3 linked regions of the Nothobranchius furzeri genome follow. The protein of the gene in region 3 purifies or fractionates together with the protein of the main gene of each other region. This does not show direct contact. Links are inferred from orthologs where the notes say so. Each region holds a gene or a part of one and is shown on either strand. Other genes may lie near its edges.

Region 1 (6,077 bases), on a different chromosome or scaffold from region 3:
TTTCATTTATTTTTTGAATTTTCTGTAACCCCAAATTATTAAAATTACATTAGACAAACAGAAAAATACACTGTCATATGACAATTTATTATCTAGTTGTGTGCTAATGTTTTGTGTCAGTGTGTGTGTATGCATTTGTGCATGTGCCTCATGTATGTTCATAGCATGCGAAGGCTGGTTGGTAATGCACACGCAGAGAGGGAAGGCAGGGAAAGGAGGATGTTGGCTGGCGGAAGCTCTGCTTGATGCTGATAAAAGGAGCTCTTGGTTCTGAGAAAGGGAACTGCTAACTGCTGTGGTTGCTGCCAGAAGCTCATTGTACAGCTTCACAACCCCTCATCCTCTCCACCAGCCACAGTTATACTGTCTGAAATCATCTCAAACTCATATATATGTTTGAAAAATGACGTGACATCTGGGAACCAACTTCAGGGCGGCTTCCTCCTCGGTTTGGGGATTTTGAAATAGCTGTGATATTGTGCAACATTTCATGATTTTACAGTTCTGTTACAAATGTGTACAAACTAAGTTTGGATCTTCTAATTCCTCTCTACAAGCCAAGAGATCTCTTTCCATGATTATTTTGGAACTCAAGAGTAACAGAAGGTAACTGTAAGGCCACACAATGATGTAATTTGTGGATTGAGATAGAGGGAAATCCCCATCAGACTGCTTTTCCAAAAGTTTCCCAGAAGTGGGAAGTAAGATAATTGGAGGTGGTTAAATGTGGGAGGATCCTGTAAAAAAAGATGCTGATGAGAACGAGAAACATAAAACGGGTTGTAAATGGAGAGATTGCTCGTATGATGTTTTTCAATGCAGCAACCGCTGTGTGACACAGAGCTTCAGCTAATGAGTGGAGGAACCTTTAATTTTAAAGACAAAAGTTTTAGTTAGATATTGTTCTAATGATGCTTGAAAGGGTTCCTATGGACATCAAAAAGAAGGATTAGGTTCTAATTTTCTGGTTTAACAAAAGCAAGGAAATAAGATCATGATGTTAGAAAAACATATTTAGCTTTTTACGTTACAGAAATCAAGTTTGTGAAAACTTGATGAAAGAAAAAAGTTCAGTCTGAAATGCTAAACTTATAACTTTGTTGCAAAGCTACAGAATTGCATTTAATTTTTTAAACACTATCCTCCATTTACAAAAAGCAACAAAGTCAACAATGTTAAAGGTGAAACAATTTTAGTAAGCTTGTTAAACGGTGCTTATTGAGTGACAGTAAAATAAAATGCAGATTTGGATTTACGTTTATCATTTTGTGTCACATCATTGCAAAGTAAATGTTATGAAAGATTTTAAGACTTTAAAGTGACTTTCTTTTATTTTCCGTTATGTGACTTTTCAGCTTTTCGATTTATGGAGAAGAGGACAGCTATGGTTGCACCCTTTTCTGTAAAACCACATCCTTTTTTATATTGTTCATCAAAACATTAAACACGTTGCTCTTTAGTCTGCATTAGATGCATTGATGTACTCGAAGTTGCTACTAAATTGGGTACTATTATTTTGAATTAAAATGTTTTTATTTTTGATTGATAGTTTGATTGTAATAATCCAACACTGTATTCACAAATGCAGATTTTTATTTATGATTATTACAAAATGTACTAACTGGAATAATAACATAAGTGCATTTACAAAGTCCCTGAAACTGGTCAAGAATTAGTCAGTCATTTCTTTTGTCCACAGTTTGAAATATTTAATCTAAAATATTCAAATGTTCAATTTAAACACAAAGGCTATTCAGATTTGTTTTATGTTTTTATAACATTTATTTTTGTGCTTATTTTTCCCCAAATTTTTTTAACATTGAAGTTTATAATTTTATAAATTTTTGTTGTTCAAACTCCGTTCAATCTGTGCAGTTTTCAGGTAAAAAAAAAATTCACACATGATGAAGACTGTTTTGTCTATAAAGTTGTTAATAAAGTTTGTTTAAAAAAAGTCAACAGTGACGTAATCCTTGCTCTTACGCACGACGTAAGATGCTGGAATTGATTGTAGGCTAGTGTTAGCCGTGTAGCTGGTTTGCCAACAAGAAAGAAAATGGACTCGCCTATCCTGGTAATATCTAATTTATTTTTTCATGACGGCATAATGTTAGTGAAGCGTTTAACCTCGTAGTGTAAACATTTTTTTAAATTGTCTTCATAATTTAGGCGAAATGCTGCTTATTTAGCATCCTCCCGAGTTAACTTGACAGAGAGCTAACTACAGTGTTAGCTAACTAGTTAGCGTCGAGGAAGTATGTGTCCGTTTGTTGCTGATGTGGAAGTGTCATGTCCTCCACCTGACATGAACAAGAATACCGTCATGACAACATTTTTACAACCGTTTTTGATACATGTCTTAAGACTAAACGATCCTATTATGGCCTAATCACGGCCATTTTTCTTAAACTATCCTTCTTACTACAAACCTTAATTTCTAGTCCTTTATGTTTGTTTAAACACAACGCACTGTACTGCTGTCTTCACAGGAACCCTCTTTGTATACGGTCAAAGCTGTTCTGATTCTGGACAATGACGGAGACAGGCTTTATGCCAAGGTATGACTTTAATCCTGATTCATCTTTTTTACTTTAAATATTTTCTTCAAACACGCAAAGTCTGATTTAATGTCAATATTACAGCTTTTCACTTGGATTAGATCCCCCCAAAAGCAATAAGTTAATTATTCAACACACCTGATACATTTTCATAAATTTTTCATGACCTATTTAATAATAATAGATTTGAGCTGTACACAAACAGTTTTTAGATGTATTTGAAGGTGGTGATTGCAAAGCACTAAAAAAAAACACAGGAGTCTTTTGTGTAATTAGATAGAGAAATTTAATTAGACAAATTACAGGCGTTATTCCTTGGTCTGTTGGTCTGTTTAAAATTTAAGGTGTTCCTGATTTATATGGTTAACTATTTTAATTTTAATTTAATGTATTCATTTTTAAAATGTATCTTATTTACTTTTTATTGCTAAAAATGGTCAAAGCTGATGGCTCCTACCCCCACACCTTAAAGTTTTGTTTAAAAACAAGTTTATTTTTACTGACTCAGTATAATTCACATTATTCAATCCTTGTAATTTTATATCATAATTTTAAATATTGTTAATCATAGAAGCAAAGTTTTAAATGTAAAACTATGTTACTAGGTTTTAAATATGTTTGCTTCCGTAGTAGAAACCGTTTGGCTAACCCCGGCTTTCCACGGGAGCCGTCAGCAGCACGTTACTGCAGCAGCACGTCATAGCTGCTGATAGGAACCGCTGTGGTCAACAGAACCTTTTCCACCGGAGCCGCCGGCAGCCGTCAGCAGCGCGAGTCGGCCGCGTCTCAGGAGCAGCATGTCGCGGCCTTTACGCGCCGGTTCTATTTTCTACGCGCGACGCCTCTGAAACGGGTCAAGTTCGACATTTTTGGGGAAGGAAAGACAGGAAATCGAACGCGGAAATGGGGAGAAGCTCTCGAGATTTTCAGAATAAAGAACGTACTGCCTTCCGGTTGCTTTACTTTTAAAAACAGTTACTAACTGTGCGTCCCCGTGAGAAGTTATCACACAGCTAGTGGTCTCCTTTGTTTTTCAGGTCCGTATTGGCGATTATAAAACGGACAGAACATAAAACACAAACCATGTTGTAGTTTTCTCCTGCTTGTTGTTGTGTTTACTGACGAAGTCACTCGTGTGACTTCGTGCTCGGTCGGTGACAGCTGCTCCCCTGCTGCTTCGCGTCTCGTGGGAAGGGCCAAGCAGCAGCTTACGCGAGCAAGACGTGCTGCTGCAGTAACGTGCTGCTGACGGCTCCCGTGGAAACCCGGGGTTAGTGTCACAGAATCGATAGGGAAGTCAGACCTTTTAGAAACTTAATGTTTCCTATTTTAATGAAGAATATTTTACGTACCACATTATTTATATACTTTAATGTAAAATAATAGATTTATTTGAATTGTTTTAAAATGTACTTTTCTTCTTGGTGTGTCTGCAGTATTATGACGACACATATCCGACGGTGAAGGAGCAAAAGGCGTTTGAGAAGAACATATTCAACAAAACACACAGAACAGACAGTAAGCTAAGCATATTAAAGGTAATTGGTTTGCTTCAGTACATGACTAAAATGTGATGGTATTATTTGTTTGTTTGTAGGTGAGATTGCATTACTGGAAGGCCTAACTGTTGTCTACAAGAGCAATATAGATCTCTTCTTTTATGTCATCGGAAGTTCACATGAAAATGAGGTAAAACTGAAAGAACTTTCATGAAAAGTCAGCCTTTTCTTAATTATAGCAGATAAAACAGTCACATTTTAACTGCTAATATTTTCACATAATTACTATTTGTTGAAATTTGTTCTTTTTCAATAGCTTATGCTCATGGCTGTTCTAAACTGCCTATTTGATTCCCTCAGTCAGATGTTGAGGTATGTCTTGGTAGCAGTTTAGCACAAAATGTCAAATGTTTATAAACCATTAATCTCTCAGATTGGGATTGAGTTATTTCTCTTTAATTTTACAGAAAAAATGTTGAGAGGAGAGCTCTGTTGGAGAATATGGAGGGACTCTTCTTGGCTGTGGATGAAATAGTGGATGGGGGGTGAGTTTGAACCACCAATGATCTTTAACTAAAAACTTTTTCTTTATACTTACTGTGGTGTTTTGGGTTACTTACAGCGTGGTCCTGGAGAGCGACCCGCAGCAGGTTGTGCATCGCGTGGCTCTTCGAGTGAGTATTTCTCATCACAAATGTTCAACACGGTGTGAAAGTGTTGATGTGTGTGTGTGCGCACGCTGTAAACCTGTTGTAATACTTGTTCTTGTAGGGTGATGATGTACCACTGACAGAGCAGACAGTCACCCAGGTAAGAAAAAACCTCTACACTGATTCTGTCTTTATAATAAAGTTTAAAAGATCCATTAGTTTATTGATTGTTAAGTCTTTACCTCAGAGTGTAAAAGCTGTTATTGCATCATTCTCCTGTTTTTACTTTCTCACTCGCCTTCAGGTTGTCAAATAGTGTGTGTGAGTGTGTGATAACTAATTATTTGGTGGATAGCCAGTAGTGGTCCTTGTCTTTTCATTTTCACTCAGGCCCATCTCTCTCTCCCGGAGTGTGTGTGAGAGAGAGCGAGTGTGAGCTCCTCTTGATTAATGTTGTCATTTAAGAGGTCTGAAACTGCCCATCGCCATTTCTCCTATGGCCATGATTAATATCTGTGTCCAGTCTCTGTTTTATGGTTATGATTTGGCTTTCACTCAATCAATTAGAATGATTAATTAGACCTAGACTATTTATCTTCAATTATATCACTATGGTCATTTTTAAAAGCATTTTAGCAACTATTTGTAACTTTTTTGATGCTTACCTTATAACTTCATGTTCCTTTTTTTTTTTTAAACGTTGAGCATGTCGAACATCTTCTAATTTATTTCACACTATTATAGAAATGTACAGACTTATTTAAAGCAAAACAAAGATGTAGGATGACTCTAAACTTCTGCACAATCTTTTATTCTCATTAGGATTTATCTCATGCGGCAGCCATGATTTTATCATAAACAATTAAACCTTTTCTGAGCTGGAATTTTTCTTTTTCACAGGTGCTTCAATCTGCCAAAGAACAGATCAAATGGTCACTTCTTCGGTAGTCATCCTTGTACCAGCCCACCAGAGCTCACATGACACTGATTCTCCTCCTTTAACGTCCACCTGAGTCAAAGCTTTGAGGAGTATTAATGGCTGATCCAATCACAGTTCAGGACTGCTACATTCTTCAACTCAGTCGTTCGTTGAATGATTAAAATGAGGATAAAACATGTACATTCCATTCATGTTCTGATTTTTCATTGAAGAAACTGTTTTTCTTAAAGCAGATGATCTACATCAACAAGTCCTTTTGTCATTCCAATAATCTCACATAATAAAAATGATCATTTGATCCTATTGTCTTCTCCAGATTACTGTAAAAAAAAAAGCAAGTTTAAATTTACATTCATGTAATTATAAGCGCACACCATTTCAGCAGGTTTTAAATTTATTTTTTCCATTTTAATCTTTATTTTTCAATATA
Region 2 (6,165 bases), on a different chromosome or scaffold from region 3:
CGATTGGTGACCTGACGGCACACAGAACAGAAGAAGCTGCAGTAAACAGAACTAAGTGGGGAGCAGGTTTATTAAGAGTACAAAAAGTAAAATCTTGAATAAATGTCTGCATTTCTGTGCCCGTTTGTGTTTTTCTGAGTGGTTTTAAGGTTCTGACTCAACGACTGATGAAAATAGTGTTTTTGTTTGCCGTCATCCATATATGATACAACTACAAATAATCTGTAGTCAAACACATAGCTGTTGCTGAATTACTCAGGAGACATAAATATTTAATGTTTAGGAAGAAAAACACGAAACACTGCAAAATGCAGCAGAACTTAGCACAAATGTGTCGAACGTTTGTACTTGTGAGGTTTCGTGTCACAAATGCATTCATGTACAATAAAAACAAAACAAATCTTTATGCTTATGACATAAAAGCATTTTCTTTATATTTCCGAGAACTCCATCAATCTCACAAAGAAATAGCCTAATTTCACCAGTTAACCTGCAGCGAGACGTGGTGGTGTGGGTAATCTCAAGTGAGACTTTTTATTGATGTCTTCGTGTTTTTGCTCAGCATTCTGTTACGCTGCTATCTAGTTCATCAAATGCGAGTCTGATTATCAGGCCTTTATCTGCTGAACTCTGAGTCTCAGGTTGTGTAACTCACACCACTAAACTAGCATGTGTGTCAAAGGGATGATTAAAAACCATTCAAAAACAGATTACTATAGTTGAATGAATGTGTATGTTTCATTTAAGCTTCAAAGGTCACGGGGGAAACAAGTTTGATGTACTTCAGGTGAAGTTTGTTCGACTGATGCATTTTAAAAAGAAAGGGCTTTTAAGGTTTCTGAGTCCAAAGTCTCACCTCAGGAGCTTTACTCAGATGCTGGGTCAGCACTATGAGGTTGATCAGCGTTTCAGGGTGGCTGCTGTCCTGATAGGGAGGAAAAACAGATACAATGTGAGCAGAGCTGGAGGCTTATTTTCATTAAGTTTGTGTAATCTAGACAAGATGAGATAAAATGATCCTAAATGTGTTTTCTGAGGGTAAATCTGAATGAAAATGACCAATTTCCCCCTCTCATCTATACAAGATGTTGAATGAATCTCTGATCCTGTCTAATCCAAATTTCTGCCTCTCAAACAAACGTGAAAATGAGATTATACAAGCGGACAATAACCTCTCTTTATGGAGGCAGTTAACCCTTGGATCATTTATTTATCGAAAAGTCAGAGCTGAAAGTTACACGACACCCTGTTCTGCCTGTACAGTGAGAGAATATCAATGAATAACTGATGCTTTGTAAAAATTAAACTTATCAACACTGACCAACACAAGACACTGCAAAGCTGTAGAGTTTACATTAAAGCACATTTATAAATACTGAGATGAAAAAACGTATATTTACAACCAAACTAAAGATTTATTTATTATATTAATCGAACATTTGGAAATGAGTTTTTTGCTGTGAAATAACTGATTCTTTGCAGGTGAATAAGAGCTTTATTGAACACTAAAGTATGTGCTGCCATCTGCTGGTACACTGACAGACATTCAGTTAATATTCAATAAACCAGTTCCTCTCATCAGATAGGATGAGACAGAACTGCTGTCCTCTAACCTTATCAAGAGCCTCCTGCAACACTCCTTCAGCCTCCTCCCACTTATTCTGCGCCATGTAACAGGCTGCCTGGCCATTAAGCAGCAACAGAGTAGACGAGTACTTGTCACACATCTCTTGGAAAATGTAGTAAGCATCCTGCAGCTTCTCTCCACCCTGGAACAAGGCAATCACAAAAGCAACACGGGTTTATTTATTTTCATCTGAAGCTTGTGGTTTTCAGATGATATTAGTGGTAAAGAACCCTGTTACGTCTGACTTTACTGGATGAGGAGGCATGAATTTGTTTTGTTCCAACTAAATAACAATCACAATATATTAATGCTGACATTTTGTGGTATCACTCTAATAATAATTCTTGCTTCATCAAGAGTTAATAGAACAGCAAATAGTTTGTGGTTGATCATTCACTTATGAATCATACACAATTCATATTTATTTCTTACCACAGCAATATTAACCCAGGCTGTGGCTAGCTGGGTTAGAGTTGCATCCTCGTCTTGCTCCTGCATCTTCTTCAGCTCTTTCCTGTAATAAATAATTAGCAGCAAAATACCTCATTAAACAGCCAAAAGCTAATTTTGACCATTAGGTCATGTAGAAATTAAACAATTTGAGTCATAATGTGCAGATTCTCTGTTAGCCATAATCAAAGCTCATATACAACTAGTAAACAATCTTTAGTGTGTACGTGAAAACACATTTTTGAGGGTGTGAAACAGTTACTCCATACCTCGCCAGGTCAACACGATCCAGACTGAGAAGCACCTGAATGGTCATGGCCATACTGACAAATAAACACAGAATTATGCTCAGTTTGATATTTTTAACCATAAAACAATCCAACCACACATTTAAAAGTTCACAAAATAAAAAGAACAACTCTTGTATTTTTAATTATATTAATCAGAATGCTAAATTTGTAAGCATACATTTTTAATTGCACTTCTTTATCGTTTAACACAAATCCATGAAGCAGCTTTATAAATGTTTACTTTTAACCTATTTTTCTAACAATGTAAGATTAAACTCCAAGAGAATTTCCTAGAATAAACTATGATTTTAAAGACGCTATTCTATTAATATTCTCAATATTTATATAAATGAATATTTATATTCTCTATATTTAAATAGAGCACATAAATATGCTCCATAGTTTTGGAGTAATATGTTAAAATGAAATAACCTTGAATCCTAAGCATCATCCTATTCAGACTTAAAGAGCAAGTCACCCCCCATCAGATTCTTACTCAACTCACTCTTCCTGTTTGAAAAATGCAACAAATGCTGTTGCCTAGCAGAACAAGAGGGCGGAGCCACTAACAAATACACACTCACGACATTGTGACATCATAATCTACCATCTAACATCATAGTGTACCTCTTATCCATAGAGATGGCAGATTTAAATTAAAATGTAGTGCGAGTTTTTAGCTGACGATGGTGCATCACTGACAGGTTTAAGCAGAATATTTAAATTTGAACTAAGATGCACTAAAGTGCCGAATTATTGACTACATTTGTCTACAGCCCAATCACTCATTTATATAGTTTATCAGCAAAAAAAAAAATGGTGATTTGGCGTGGCTTGCTCTTTAAACATAAATCTGGATTCCCCCTTACCACTCCAGACTTTCTCCTTGATGAAGCGTTCTGAGAGCAGCATCAGAGTTGGTCTCATGGTGGTAGATGGAGGCCGCCATGAGCAGGAAGGTGGTGTTGGCAGCATCCACACTCTTTGACATCTTTTTGTCCAAATCAGCAACAATAACATCCCTGAACAAACATAATAAGTAAAAATATACTCAAGAGATGAATTTGTAAATCAACTGGAACAGCAATTTTTACACAAAAGGGTGAGGTTAACTAATATAAATAGTTTGTGTTGCTAGGGGCAAAATGAATGAGCATTGTGTAAGCATGCTTGTACCTTTTGCTTTCATTGGACAAATACTCTGCAAACATCCTCACAGCTTGCAGCTCAGGTGGAGAGCTGGCCTTGATGTCATCCAGAACAACAGCATACTTCCTCTGTAACAAAGAAATACAAAACCTCCGGTGAGAGGGTGAATTTTTGTCTGTCAGCAATAACGTCCACTGCCTCTTCAGATCAGGCTGATCCCCCACCAACACGTACCTGAGCAATGTAGGCTCTGTACAAAAACATGTCCCTTTCGATGTCCTTCTCTGGTGACGAAGGCTTTAAAAACCAAACACAAGACGTAAGTACCAAAATCAGTAACAAGAATATTAAGAGTAGTCGTTGTTGTTAGCCCATTAGCTCAATTGCTCTGTTAACCACACTGACAGATAAATAACGCGACAAAACGAGCGTTTAAATAAATGGAAATGCGTCACTTACCTTCACTTTCTGAGCTTCGTTAATACATTGCTGGTAACTACCGATATAATAAGCATTTTTCACATCGAACAGTTCATCAACATCACCCTGTTGCGCCGCCATGTTGGCTAATGAGCTTCCGGACACGTCGCAAAGCTACGTAGGCTTCCTGCTTTTTTACAAAGGATTCTGGGAAATGCTGTTCAGAAAACAAAAATAACTAAGAACCGAAAATGACATGAAGAAAATATTTGTCCCCTCTTAATGTGGACTCGGCGCGTTATCTATTCATGTATAATGTTTAAACTAGGCGTTATCTATTCATGGATAATGTTTAAATTATTTTATACTTGTATTGCAGAGTTATACTGGGCACAAATTATGTTAAAATTAACTTTAAAATATATTTTAAGTAAATATTTTTGTCGTCCTATATTTCTAATTAGTGTGTTATTAATTGTTATTAATTCAAAGGAATCAAGTTCAAACACTGCAAAAAAAAAAAGCTGAACGAAGCCATTTTGACTTATCGCGTTTAACCACAAGAGGGCGCTTCAAGATAGATAGATAGATATAGATGATAGATAGATAGATAGATAGATAGATAGATAGATAGATAGATAGATAGATAGATAGATAGATAGATAGATAGATAGATAGATAGATAGATAGATAGATAGATAGATAGATAGATAGATACTTGTGTTTCAATTTTGGAGCTGATGATTTAATGATCTGGCCCATTTATCAGATCTAAAAAAAGTGATGTGTGAACAATAAAATAAGGATATGACATAGGGAATTTCCGCCAGCCTCATTAAACTGCTGTTAAAAAACTTCCCATGCCTTGAAAACACCCGGAGATATGTACTTTCCTTTTTGTTTTAGCCAGGAGTAATAGTTAATAGGCATGCTCTCATTAAATGCTCTATTTTGTCAGATATTTACAAATATAAGTAAAAGTGCCAAAAAAATGTCACAAAAATGAACGGGCCACATGTTTGCTGGTGATTTAGAAACTGCTCCCCACGGTTCCTGTTCATTGTTCCCTTAGCATCATTTCCTCAGGGAAATCTTCATCCGTGGGATTCGGACCTGGACGAGAATAATTACTGGAAACCCCAACGGGGGCAGTGGGTGTGCTGGACCTAAAGAGCCTTTTACTTTGGGCGTGTTTGGGCTGTTCTGCTCCTCTCGTTGCTCTTTCATTGGTTCAGAACGACATCAAGTTTGAAACTTTTTTTCTGACCAAGTAGGCGGGGGGAGTCTGGTTACGCCAACAGAAAACTTGTAACCGATCTCAGAGTGTCCGCGAGACGAAAACACTCTTAATAATTCACACTTCTGCGCCTGGTTGCAGAACAAAAGAGCAGCGGAGAACTGCTTTTGTATAGTGGATATTCGGCGAACAAAAGTAACGTTAGTGGGGTGAATATGTTGTAAAACCACTTCCTCTGTGGCAAGGATGAAGAAGTCTTGAGTGACTTTGCTCTGATTAATTTGTCAACTTTTGCTGGCGGATCGCTCCCGTGGCTCGGTGAACCGTAGAGAAAGGTGAGTTCATGTTCCCGGTGATATTAGCGGTTCACGGGTTTTTTAAATTAAACTTCTTCTCAAACTTTAACGAACAAAGATTTGTTGTCAAGGAGGGGGGCTGAACTCACGCCACCTCCGAGTAATTCAGTACGAGGCTGCTGCAGCAACGTTTCCGAGAGGTTAACGGTGGGTGTTAATGAGACTAGCTTAATTTGAGGGACGCCATGTTCACCTAACGGAAATTGGTCAAACACATAAAAACGACCCGCTGCTAAATTTCCCGAGATTAGCATTTAAACGACTGTTCTGATCGATTTAAATTATAATAAAAGAAGATACTGTGGAGTAATTATTTTTAACTATGTGATCTATACTTAAAGCTGGTCCATTCCCCCTGTTTACCACATATTTACTTATTTTCGAACTTATTCAAATGAGACCTGGTGATAAACCTCAGAACAAGATATCCCATCCCTTCAACGTTTGATATCCCAATTGAACTGTTCTGTAATAGTGTGGAACGTAAAGCAATGCACTTAATAAAGTAATGCAACATTTCATTTATTCATTTAAACATTTTTGAGTGATTGTCATGAGAAACTGAGTCAGATTCAATAAAAGCTAAACTATGCAACAAGATTATGTTTATTGTCTAAATTGCCTAAACAGAAAACG
Region 3 (5,604 bases):
TTTTACTACATTTTGGCCTGTCATCCACACGAAAACGGATCTTTTTAAAAACTCCGGCCGAAGTGAAGATCTGCGTTTTCTCCGTTTTGGGTGTCTGCGTGTGGACGGACAAAACCGGAGTTTTAAGGTCCGCAACGTCACTTTCCGCGACAAAAAAATGCTGACATCACGTGTGCGACCTGTGTTTACACTAGCCGACAGCATGGATGTCCTCAGAGCTGCGCTCGCTTTATCAATTGTCCAAGCGCTTTTTGCTTGTTTGTTTTTGCAAGCGGAATTACTGCTCCTTGCGGAAGACCACAGAGGAAGGACGAGGTTAAGAACGGGAGAAGTACTGCCGCCTACAGGTCTGGCATGTCCTTAACAACGTATTTATCCGGCTACGTGTGGACTAGGCCTTAATGACAAATCCACTCCATTAAGGCATCTAGTTAATCTCTATGGTGATCAGCAAATCTGTCAGCACTACAACCATCCCATAATTTGCTCAAGTTAAGCTCAAACAAAAGGCTAAAGGACCAAGCACTAAACTATGTTTACCTGCAGCTGTAGTCCTTTGTTGTCATTGTTGTTGATAATGAGGCGGATGCGTCCGTTTTTGTCATCTGTGACCCGAAGCGTCACCATGCCAAGCACTTCCATGTTCTGCAGGCCACCATCACGGCCACAGGTCAGCGAGATCTTCTCCTCCACACGCAGGTGTACGCTGAGCAGAAAACACAGCCACACAGATGTAAATAAAGATCAAAGCAGTCGGGTTTAAATAAAAACAACATTATATCATGGACATCCAGATGTAAGCTCCAGCATCAGATCAGGGTCTCTTTTTATAACTTCAGTGTGGTAATCTCCAGCTACAGGGCAACGTTGGTGTTTCTGCTAATATGTGAAAATCCACAAACTTTGAGAAGCTGTAAAACCCAAAAGAAAGCATTAAAATCAGGATGGGTACCAAATTCGGTACTTTTTAAGGTACCGATCGAATTCCACAGTACCGACCGAGCACCGATTCACGTCATTTCAAACGGTGCCTCGTTTCGGTGCCCGTCCTTCACAACGAGAACTTGCTAAGACAGCTGCGCATGTGCAAGAGCGTTATGTCGTTGGTCGCTGCGAGCGAGTTGTAAACAGAGCAGCATGGTAGAAAGAAGGCACGCTAACGCTTGGGTCCACTTCACTAAATGTGATGGCTAACTGGGTGATGATGAAACCAGCGACAACGATCTAAGTGAGACATCCTCATCTTAATCTGCTCTGGTAGGTAAATAAAATGTTTAAGATACCGTTAGCTTGATTTGTTAGCTTCCGTTTCACTAATGGTGCGTTCGCTTTCTCCTCGGAACTCCGAAATTCCGACTAGAAGAACATGAACACGCTCTAAAGTTTGGCTTCACTTTACTAAATGCGACGGGTGATTGGGTGAAGATGAAACCAGTGACAACGATCTAAGTGTGAGGCATCATCGTTTTAATCTGCTCCAGCAGTTAAACTGTTTAAGATAACGTTAGCTTGATATGTTAGCTTCCTATGCCACTATCGTTATCATCTAATGGTGCGTTCGCTTTCTCCTCGGAAATTCTAACTTCCCAGTAGGAAAAATCAAATGAAAAAAAGACGGCAAAGGGAATGAAGATACACAGTAAATTTAGTTCACAGTAAAGATGTTTGCCTCAGTTCAATTATCAGCTTATAAAACTACAAGGACGATGTTAAAATACAAACAGTTGTATGTTATTTATCGTGATATTTATCAAATATGGTTATAAATTGGGAAAAATATATATTTAATTATAAAAGAGAATTAAAATAATAAACACTGAAAAGTATCGAAAATTGGTACCATTAAGTACCGGTATCGATTCGTAGGTACCGGGAATTAGTACCGAATCGATTCAAATGTCAAAGGTATACCCATCCCTAGCCATGATGAGTGCATACCTCTCCACATTGACAGGTGCTGGCAGAGCCTTAGACACATCTGAGCCTCTCTTCCCTGTTGAAGGAATGATGGTTTCACCTTCAGACTTCAGCTGGTCAACAAAGTTGTCCACCTCTTTCCCTTTAGCGCCCAGTTTCAGAGCTCTGCTTGGTCCACTTGATCTGGATGGATTAAAACAATAATGACACAAAGAAACCAGAAGAAAGAGCAGATGCTGTGAAAGAAGTCAGCGGAAGCCCGATACCGGACTGGAGTTGGTGTGATCTTGGGTTTTTCAGGCTCGACGATGGTTTCTGTGATGACGGAGCCCGAGGACATGCTGCTCATTCCTGCACTGCCAAAGCCTCCAAACGCTGGCACCTTCTTCCCAGAACGCTCAGCATCTCTCCTGGCCTGCTGCAGCTCCTTGGCCTTCCTCCTCATCTCTGCCTTGGCTTCCCGTTCCTGGGTCTGAGGACGGTCCAGCACAGTTAGTCCTGTCTTCTTTCCCAATTCTAACTCAAATCACACTCACCCTGGACTCTCCGCCTCTCTAATTCAACTAAATACAATTCAACATGTCTGTGTGACCTCACCTCTCTGACAGCACGGAAAACCTTCTCCTCGTGGGAATCCATCTCTGTGAAGGTGCGAATCTGAGCCAAGTTCACGTTCTCTCTGTAGCCGAGCGCCACGATCTCATCAAAGGCAAAGATCAGGTCGAAACAGTGCTCCGAAATTTCACTCTCCTCCAGCACGCGACAGTATTCTGGGATCTGGAAGAGCCGAGCAAACGGGTGAAGGAAACGGTAAACACTTTTACAAAGACACTTCAGAATGACACTAAACCAGGGGGCCCCAATCCTGGTCCTGGAGGGCCGGTATCCAGCAGGTTTAGTGGGTTTTCAGCTCCAACAGGCTTGATTCAGGCCCTGTCCACACGTAGCCGGGGATCTGCCAAAACGTAGATATTTTTCTACGTTTTGGCCTGTCATCCACACGAAAACGGAGTTTTTTCACACGAAAACGGATCTTTTTAAAAACTCCGGCCAAAGTGAAGATCTGCGTTTTCTCCGTTTTGGGTGTCTGCGTGTGGACAGACAAAACCGGAGTTTTAAGGCCCGCAACGTCACTTTCCGCGACAAAAAACTGCTGACATCACGTGTGCGACCTGTGTTTACACTAGTCGACAGCATGGATGCCCTCAGAGCTGCGCTCGCTTTATCAATTGTCCAAGCGCTTTCTGCTTGTTTGTTTTTGCAAGCGGAATTACTGCTCCTTGCGGAAGACCACAGACGAAGGACGAGGTTAAGAACGGGGGAAGTACTGCCGCCTACAGGTCTGGCATGTCCTTAACAACGTATTTATCCGGGTACGTGTGGACAGAGTTTTGTTTTGTAAACGAGGTGGTGTGGATGCAAGTTTTTGGAGGGGCGGATATTCATTTTTTTTTTTAAACGGCTACGTGTGAACTAGGCCTCAGTGGTTGAAACCCCTGTGCAGCAGCTCATCAGGCTCTGCAGAAGCCTGTTAATTAGCTGCTGATTGAAATCAGGTGTGTTGAACTGGCAGAGTTCAAACTAAAACATGCAGGATAGCGGCCCTCCAGGACCAGGAGTGGGGACCCCTGCTTTAAACTATTACAGTTACGGTTTGTGCCCGAGTAAAAGCATCGTGGTTAGGTTGTGTGATCAAAACTTTTCCTAAAGGCCTTTAACCCTCTGGGGTCCAGGGCGTAATTTGCCGTTTTTGACTAATTTAGAGTTTTCCTTTGTATTTCCAAAATAAAAGCCATAACCACTGCCTTATGTGGTATCAGTCTTTTCAGCACAACCTGGACTTTATGAATTTATACTTATTTTTTATATTTGGACATAAAGGGGTTGCATATTAGACCTTAAATCACTCAAAAACATAAAATCTGAATAGGAAAAAAGTTGTTTATTTTACTGTGAAACCAACAAACATTTATGACGAATGTTTTTTTTATAATTTAGAATGGTAATCTAGACTGTACATTTATAAAACATATGAATACATATATCAAATAACAAAAAACAATTCTTAGCCCTCTGGGGTCCAGGGTGTAAATCACCATTTTTGACTCATTTTGGTTTTCCTTTGTATTTTCTAATAAAAACAATAAATATTGCCTTATGGGGTATCATTATTTTCAGGACAACCTGGACTATCTGAATTTATACTCATTTTATTAATTTGGCAATAATGTACATGCATTTTGGAGAGAGAAGAGTGGCTCTGTCAGCTGCGCCGTCCACTCTTCTTGTTGGATCTCCGAGGAGCTGCATCTCTGCCTTCATCCTCCACCTCATCATGACCCAACTCTTCTATGAGGAAGGATGGATCTGCCACATCCTCATCAACATCCTCGCTATTTGCCTCAGACTCTGGCTGTGAGTGTCCGTCCACTTCCTCTTCTTCCAGTTCAAAAAACAGCCGTACTATCTGAACTGCCTGGTGGACATTTATCCTTCTCATCATCCTTTATTAAAGCCTAATAAAAGCTGACTAAACTGCAGAGACAATAGATCTGTCCGGATCGCTCCAAAATACCAAGTTTACCGTCAATATCTGTCTAATTGTTTGTCGTTACTCCGTTCGCGCCACTATACTTTCCCCGCGAAGCGGCTCCTTTGTGCGCACATCTCGTTACTCGTGCGGCCTTCCTCTCTCTCTCAGCTACATAATGATGCTTTTTATCAACTGAATATGTGAGACTTCCACCAACAGCAAAAGGATCTCATGTTTTTGTGTTCACAAGCACATTCCCTCTCCCTCTGCTGTTTTGACAAGTTGTCAGATTGTCTAAAAATAGGTCGTTTTTTTAGTTTAGTCTAATGGGCTCGACACACGGGAGGCGACATCGCCTCTCCTCCATTCATGTTCAATGAGACATGCACGCTGCCGCGGATCGCCTCCCGTGTGTCGAGCCCACAACTCCGCTTTTACATTGCCTATTAACAAAGTTTAAAATCTGGGGTGTAGTTTATAATCTCCTTTTTAAAGCTGAATTGAAACCAAAACTCAGGGAGGCGGAGTCTTGCTGCTACAGCGTCCCAAATCAGACCTGTTCAAAAGACGCGGATACGCGTCCATGGACCCCAGACGGTTAAGGACGATCGTGGAATTATTTGCAATTTGATTGTCCGATTTATTTAAAAGCTTACAGGATCTGGTAGAAATATGGCATAAATACTGTCGAAGCAATTAGGAGTCAGACATTCAAAAACAAAGCGATGGAGTTTATACAAACCCTAATTCTGAACGTTTCACCTGGAGCAGGTGAGCTAGGACTCTGTTACCATAGTAACACAGCGGGCCTTAAAACCAAACCCCAACATAGCTGCTGACTTCGTGTTATTTAGGTCTCCACACCAGCAAAATGTGACAGAAACAAATATTTAGTGCCTTTTTATTTGCTTTGGCTTACTATTATAATATTTTACTGAAACATTTTGATTTTTAAGTTAGTTTATCCGTTAAGTTTGAATGCTTCAAATCATTTTGAAAGCCAAAATGTGCTCTAAAGAGCGTGTGGCCTGGTTTTCTAGGCGTTAGTAAGACTCACGCAGCTGTAGCCGGGGTCAAAGCTCTCAGATAGTCTCATTTTGTAGAGTAGAAGCTAAAGAGTGAAGGAACCTGTGTAAACACACAATATACTAGCT

Evidence for each region. The genes of interacting proteins can lie anywhere in the genome.
Region 1: the proteins of arcn1b (region 3) and copz1 fractionate together in Homo sapiens (co-fractionation; 5 studies listed by BioGRID and IntAct, with this or other methods). This does not show direct contact. The link is inferred for Nothobranchius furzeri from reciprocal best matches to the Homo sapiens genes ARCN1 and COPZ1.
Region 2: the proteins of arcn1b (region 3) and cope purify together in Homo sapiens (affinity purification with mass spectrometry; 4 studies listed by BioGRID and IntAct, with this or other methods). This does not show direct contact. The link is inferred for Nothobranchius furzeri from reciprocal best matches to the Homo sapiens genes ARCN1 and COPE.

Annotation. Positions count from the first base shown.
Region 1 is NC_091755.1:25,753,654-25,759,730, reverse strand, and holds copz1 (coatomer subunit zeta-1), read left to right. Parts: upstream 1-1,943; 5' UTR 1,944-2,056; coding exon 2,057-2,074; intron 2,075-2,489; coding exon 2,490-2,558; intron 2,559-3,994; coding exon 3,995-4,076; intron 4,077-4,155; coding exon 4,156-4,247; intron 4,248-4,373; coding exon 4,374-4,429; intron 4,430-4,524; coding exon 4,525-4,602; intron 4,603-4,679; coding exon 4,680-4,731; intron 4,732-4,828; coding exon 4,829-4,867; intron 4,868-5,607; coding exon 5,608-5,655; 3' UTR 5,656-5,950; downstream 5,951-6,077. UniProt on the Homo sapiens protein: The coatomer is a cytosolic protein complex that binds to dilysine motifs and reversibly associates with Golgi non-clathrin-coated vesicles, which further mediate biosynthetic protein transport from the ER, via the Golgi up to the trans Golgi network.
Region 2 is NC_091748.1:57,727,344-57,733,508, reverse strand, and holds the start of cope (coatomer subunit epsilon), read right to left. Parts: upstream 4,135-6,165; 5' UTR 4,078-4,134; coding exon 3,976-4,077; intron 3,814-3,975; coding exon 3,751-3,813; intron 3,645-3,750; coding exon 3,544-3,644; intron 3,390-3,543; coding exon 3,237-3,389; intron 2,401-3,236; coding exon 2,347-2,400; intron 2,142-2,346; coding exon 2,060-2,141; intron 1,770-2,059; coding exon 1,614-1,769; intron 926-1,613; coding exon 857-925; intron 12-856; coding exon 1-11. UniProt on the Homo sapiens protein: The coatomer is a cytosolic protein complex that binds to dilysine motifs and reversibly associates with Golgi non-clathrin-coated vesicles, which further mediate biosynthetic protein transport from the ER, via the Golgi up to the trans Golgi network.
Region 3 is NC_091753.1:20,846,646-20,852,249, reverse strand, and holds part of arcn1b (archain 1b), read right to left. Parts: intron 2,695-5,604; coding exon 2,515-2,694; intron 2,390-2,514; coding exon 2,184-2,389; intron 2,101-2,183; coding exon 1,939-2,100; intron 707-1,938; coding exon 541-706; intron 1-540. UniProt on the Homo sapiens protein: Component of the coatomer, a cytosolic protein complex that binds to dilysine motifs and reversibly associates with Golgi non-clathrin-coated vesicles, which further mediate biosynthetic protein transport from the ER, via the Golgi up to the trans Golgi network.